2 linked regions of the Saccharomyces cerevisiae S288C genome follow. Changing the gene in region 2 together with the main gene of any one other region gives a genetic interaction. Each region holds a gene or a part of one and is shown on either strand. Other genes may lie near its edges.

Region 1 (3,166 bases), 210 kb from region 2:
GATATTATTTCATAGTACTTGAAAGACCTTGATTTGCCAGTGCCGGCCGTTCCATTAATTTGAACTTCATGTATCTTCACAAATAGCTCTTCACAAAGCCATTTGAAATCTGGACTAGGCGCAAAGTTTTGGGGCTCGGGTATAGAATCTAGTGCTGATATCATACCTAAATAATCCGTTACTATTTCCTTCAGTTCTAGATTTTTATTTTAGTATTTATTTTCCACATATTAACATATGTTTAAAGGATTTTTTCATAGTTAGATTTGTTTAAAGATTTAATATGGTGACAAAAGGTAAAAAGAGAAAAATAACAAAAAAAAGGAAAAAAGAAGAAAATAAGGGATCGAAAACGATCTTAACTCTAGTACTGCACAAACAACGTAAGTGATGAAACCGATATTATTGATCTATACTCGGCGAATCTTACGATTTATATCACAATGTTACATGTACAACGTACGTAGTTACTAAACACTGATTTCAGCCTATTTAATCACCTATCGAATTAAATTGCCTAAGGGGTCATAACTTAAAGGCTCTCCATTTTCTTTTGAACCACTTTCCTCGTCTTCTGATTCCTCAGATTGCGCTTCCCTGCTTTTCATGTTATCTATACGAATAGCATTACCTAAAGAGTCATATTCAATACATTGATTATTGCCTTCCAAATCAGATTGTTCTGAGTTTTCCTCACTCTCTGATGTGTCAGATTGCGAACCATTACCCCTTCTATTTATGTTACCCATCATCCATATATCTTCTTCTTTAGCTCGGGATTTTCGTTCTTGAGTTTCCTTTTCTAATTTTTGCAACCATTCCTCTTCAGCCCTCTTTACAGAGTCGCAGTCAGTGCACTGCTGATAGATTTCAAGCAATTCTTTGTTTAATTCTAAAAATCCCATTCCCCACGAGAAGTGTGATAACAATTCACTGGCCCAATCCATTCTCCCGACGATAGCAAAACAAGCCGCTAATGCCTCAACGCAATTGAGCCTCCATGGTCTCCCGTAATTTACTTGATTAGCGGCCACTAAATACGGCAGCAGCCTTTCGTGCTTACCGCCTATTTTATTGAAGGGTACCTCTTCTAAACGTGCCCAAGAACACTCGACCACCGAAGCGCCGTGTTGTTCGACAATTTCTAGATCATCAGGGCAAACAACACCTTTGCCGTTTGGCGAAACGACAATACCTTGAAATTTCTGTCCAACTCTCAATGATTTAATTAAGCCCAACCTTTCAAGTTTTTTACCACTGCATCTCTTTGGATCGCAATGATCAAAATCCCACATAGCCAGTTTAACAGGAAACTTCATTTTTTCTGAATTATCGTACTTCATTTCCATGCGCCTATGGTTTTGCCTGGAACTGTGCCCATTAGCGCCTCTCTGTGGTCTTCCATTTTTGGGTTCGTGCATCTTATTTTTACCTTTTCCCATTGTTACTGCTTACTCAACTGTCTTACGCGAGAAGTTCTATACAGATTTACATAAAAAGCTTTTCGATAAAGTATTTCAAATAGACATTTACTAGTAAAAATTTTTTTATGTAGTTTCTCATCACATTATATTTTCTAGTCTTCTCCGAAAATCGACGAATTTACCTGAAAAAAAGAAAAAGTAAACTACAGTCCCTATTTAAGTATTTCGCAAGTGATCTCAAAGTAAAAATAAAATTCCTGGTAACACTCATCCTAGATAGAGCTATATTTGTATCTACATAACATGTATTGCATTAAAGGCTTATTTCAGTCCACTATTGCTTGTTCTCATTGTCTGGTGTTTCATCTGTAGATTGGGCACCTGCTCCACCAAAAAGATTGCCTGCCATGTTTCTGAGTGCTGGGTTATTCATCAAGTCAGACAAATTTGGAGTTCCTCCGCCTGAAGCAAAGCCTTCAGCCATCTGTCTGATACTTGGATCTTGCATCATTTTTTGAATATTCTGCATTGCACCTGGATTGCTCATCATTTTTTGCGCAGCCTGCATCAATTGTGGGTTGTTCATTAAACCTCCAAGACCACCTCCTAATAAAGAACCAAGATCTGGCAATCCACCCGCACTAGCACCCTGACTTGCATCGACATCAGCATCCCTTGACTGTTCTGGAACGGTTTTCTCCAGATTCAAAGATTGCTCAACCTTCTTCTTGGCACTTTCATAATCCCTTTTCATAGCTTCTGTTGCATTATCGCCCTCTATATCAAGAACCTTTTTGTATGCTTCAAGGGCTTCTTCGGGTTTACCTTGCGCATATTTAGCAAAACCCAATCTAGAGTAGCCTCTGAAATAAGATGGGTCAATAGAAATTGCAGATTCAGCGTCTTTGACCGCTTGATCATATTCTTTCAGGGATGAATGAGCAGCCGCTCTATTGGCGTAATAAATAGCATTCGTTGGTAAAACTTTAATGGCTTCAGTATATTTATTGATTGCCAGTTCGTAATCCTTGTTGGCCATTGCTTTATTACCTTGCATTTTCAAGTCCTCAGCTTTGGCTTTAGTTTCCGCATCATCTTCTGGAATATTAATCTCGACATTCTCAGCATCGTCTTTCTTATTCGATTCTGGAACTCTTGACGCAGAATTTAATATATCAGCAAGATGTTGACCCTTGAATTCAGACTTGCCTAAAATGCCTGAAACAGCTTCTCTTTCAAAGCCAAAGGCTTCAGAGATACAGTCCATAGCAACATTTAAAGAATCGGCGCCATCTTCTGAAATTTCTTTCTTTTCCACAATGGAAGAAAAGTAGTTTACAATAAGGGCAGCAATTTCTTCTTTTGATGCTGACATCGTACAGTAGATTTGTATTAATAAGATATCACTTGGTCAGAAGCTTCTATTCAGTTGTCCGATTATATCGCTCGTACTCATTTTATATGGTGGCAAAATTTGGGATTAAGCGTAGGGCAATAAAACCTTCTCGGATCTTCCATTTTTTTCGATTGGGAAAATTTTAAGACTTGAAAAAGTTTGGAAAAATACAAAAGAAGGGCTAAGTGTTGTGATTAGAATGTCATGACAATAAGGTTAAAAGCAAATATTATGCCGCCTATAGCCCTTTAAAATAGCATAAAAGACCTTTGTAATTTCTATTCAATGTTAAAAAAAATCTTCCCCGCCAGGACTTGAACCTGGAATCTTCTGGTTCGTAGCCAGA
Region 2 (3,436 bases):
ATTGGTGAAATTGTTCAAGGCTTCGACAATCCAGCTGGTTTGCAAAGCAATGGTTTGCATATTCAAGGCCAAAAGTTCATGTTGTTGAGAGCTGACGATAGAAGTATCTACGGTAGACATGATGCTGAGGGTGTTGTTTGTGTAAGAACTAAGCAAACCGTTATTATTGCTCATTATCCACCAACCGTACAAGCCGGTGAGGCCACCAAGATTGTCGAGCAATTGGCTGACTACTTGATTGGTGTTCAATACTAATTTATGCAGGTAAAGTTTTCTTGCCTTATACACCACCTATTCTGGCATCTGCGGGATTTCGCTTCCTATTTTACAAATATTTTATTGATTGACGCTAATTATCACTGTAAAAGGCGCACTTTTTATATGTAGTCACATCCGGTATTTAACATATTTACGAAACAGTCTTAAGAATATCGACATTTGATATACTTATGTTTAATTTATCTACATATTACAATCATACGAGAAACACGCAAAAACAATTACTTGAATACTTCGAAAGGAGACCAATTTGGATGTACAACCCTTTTTTCGCCCTTTTCCTTCGATATGTTATTGATAGCTTCAAAGTCCTCAGTAGACAAAGTAAATATTTTCCTGTTCGTTTTGATTCGATCGGGATTCACAGATTTTGGCAAGACAACATAACCTCTTTGGACGTGCCAGCTAATAACAACGTGTCCGGGTTGAACGTTATTTTTCTTCGCAATTTCAAGGATAACCGGTTCCTTCAATAGTGGAGCATCGGTACTACCTAACGGAGAATAAGCTTCAACCACAATGCCTTTACTTTTACAAAAATTAATCAATTCGTCTTGAGGTAGTAATGGATGTATTTCGACTTGGTTAGCAGCTGGCGTAAGCTTATTACCTTGAGATGCTAATAGATCTTTCAGGTTATTTATAGAAAAGTTGGAGACTCCAACGGCCTTAGTTTTACCAGTCTTTGGTAGTTCCTGCATTAATTCCCAGGTTTTGATGAAATTCCAATTGGTGATATCCACTGCACGAGAACCATCCTTCTTTGTTGGCACACTCAAGATGTCTTCATTTTTGATGTAGGCTGGATCTAATCTGGCAGGCCAATGCATCAAATATAAGTCTACGTAGTCCAATCCTAACCTCTTTAGTGATTGATCCAGCGCTACTTCAGGTTCGTGGTGTTGTGTACACCATAACTTTGTAGTAACAAAGATTTCTTCCCGAGGAACACCTGAATCCTTGATGGCTTGACCGACTTGGTCTTCATTACGGTAAATAGCAGCAGTATCAATGTGTCGGTAGCCATCTTTCAAAGCGGTTAAAACAGCCTTATAAGCATCGTTCTCTTTCGACTGCCACGTACCTAAACCTATTTGAGGGATTTGGGCTCCAGTATTTAGAGAAAGGATTTTCGTAGAATCATGTAAAGTAGCAGGCATTTTTCTATCTTAATTTAGTAATGAGAGCTGTCCAAATTTTAGCTTGCTAAGATGCACCTATTAAGCTCTCATCCTGAATCAAGTCATTAGAATGTCTTGATTCTCCCGGTTTTATACGCCCAGTAAAGCAATTCTTTACTGCCGTAGTCTTTTCCTGAAAGCTCGGTTTCTACTCTAGGGAATTAAGGAGAGCAGCGGTGTGCGATTCGTCACACGGGTGAATGCCTGATAGGCATATTATTAAGCCGTGTTTGCAATCTGCGTGCTAGATTGATTCTACCCCTTTCTGAGAAGGCGAAATGACCTTGCTATGACAATGAGGGAGAAAAGACCGCCCTTCCTTGTTCTTCCCCGGAATAGTCTGCCCCGATTGTTCGCCGGTGTTATAACTTACAATTCTTATACACTCCATAGGAAGTTTGTTGACAAGAGTTAAGTTTCAAATATCTAAAGCCAGGAAGTATGATCACCCAAGCATATCCATTGCAATATGTAAGACATTCAAGCGGATTTCTGGGACTTTAGAAAGTGAAATTTAAAAAAAAAAAAATTTAACAGAGGTCATACTTCCAAAAAAAAAAAAATGTAGAACTGGGCGAAATATCATCAGCTCATTCACTCTAATGCGGCCCTTCTGTAACCTCGAGCAAAGAGCCCAAATAACTTCATCTCTTCTCTCTTACGAACTGAAATATTCTCATGTTACCTATTGAGTAGTTGCGGGGACATTGGCGCGCGCAGAAAGAGTGAAAAATTTTATAGTGGAATATAGAAATTGAGATGAGATGAGATACTAAGACTAAAAATAATAGTAAAAAGAAGTTAAAACAGATTTAGAGATTCAAACTCCGTTATTTTTAGAAGGTCATGTCCTTGGAAGATAAATTTGATTCATTGTCTGTGTCGCAAGGTGCCTCGGACCATATTAATAATCAGCTCTTAGAGAAGTATAGTCACAAAATAAAAACTGATGAATTATCATTCAGCAGAGCGAAAACATCAAAGGATAAAGCAAATAGGGCGACTGTGGAAAATGTCTTAGATCCGAGAACTATGAGATTTTTGAAGTCTATGGTCACCAGAGGTGTGATTGCAGATTTGAACGGTTGCTTAAGTACTGGGAAAGAAGCTAATGTTTACCACGCTTTTGCAGGTACCGGTAAGGCACCCGTAATAGATGAGGAAACAGGCCAGTATGAAGTTTTAGAGACAGACGGATCCCGTGCAGAATATGCCATTAAGATTTATAAGACCTCTATCCTAGTCTTCAAAGATCGTGAAAGATATGTTGATGGTGAATTTAGATTTAGAAATTCCAGATCTCAACATAATCCAAGGAAAATGATTAAAATTTGGGCTGAAAAGGAATTTAGGAACCTGAAAAGAATTTATCAAAGTGGCGTCATTCCAGCTCCTAAGCCAATAGAAGTTAAGAACAACGTCTTAGTTATGGAATTTTTAAGCCGAGGTAATGGATTTGCCTCACCTAAATTAAAAGATTATCCGTACAAGAATCGTGATGAAATTTTCCATTATTATCACACAATGGTGGCATATATGAGATTGCTGTACCAAGTTTGTCGCCTGGTTCATGCCGATTTGTCAGAGTATAACACCATAGTTCATGATGATAAACTATATATGATCGATGTTTCCCAAAGTGTGGAACCTGAACATCCAATGAGTTTAGATTTTTTAAGGATGGATATCAAAAACGTTAACCTTTATTTCGAGAAGATGGGTATAAGTATTTTCCCTGAAAGGGTTATTTTTCAATTTGTCATATCAGAAACTTTGGAGAAATTTAAAGGTGATTATAACAATATTAGCGCCTTGGTTGCATACATTGCTAGTAATCTACCAATAAAATCTACAGAACAAGATGAGGCAGAAGATGAAATATTCAGATCGCTGCATTTAGTTAGATCATTGGGTGGATTAGAGGAAAGAGATTTTGATAGGTATACTGATGGTAAGTTTGACTTACTGAAAAGCTT

The links.
Region 1: mutations in GCY1 (region 2) and TSR3 together harm fitness more than expected from each alone (negative genetic interaction), as found in Saccharomyces cerevisiae (2 studies listed by BioGRID).

The regions. Positions count from the first base shown.
Region 1 is NC_001147.6:337,180-340,345, forward strand, and holds TSR3 (ribosome biogenesis protein TSR3), read right to left. Parts: upstream 1,443-3,166; coding exon 501-1,442; downstream 1-500. Other genes in the region: DNA ligase (ATP) DNL4, read right to left, coding at 1-164; SGT2 (Sgt2p), read right to left, coding at 1,759-2,799. UniProt on the Saccharomyces cerevisiae protein: Aminocarboxypropyltransferase that catalyzes the aminocarboxypropyl transfer on pseudouridine at position 1191 (Psi1191) in 18S rRNA.
Region 2 is NC_001147.6:549,117-552,552, reverse strand, and holds GCY1 (glycerol 2-dehydrogenase (NADP(+)) GCY1), read right to left. Parts: upstream 1,440-3,436; coding exon 501-1,439; downstream 1-500. Other genes in the region: PFY1 (profilin), read left to right, coding at 1-255; protein kinase RIO1, read left to right, coding at 2,307-3,436. UniProt on the Saccharomyces cerevisiae protein: Glycerol dehydrogenase involved in glycerol catabolism under microaerobic conditions. Has mRNA binding activity.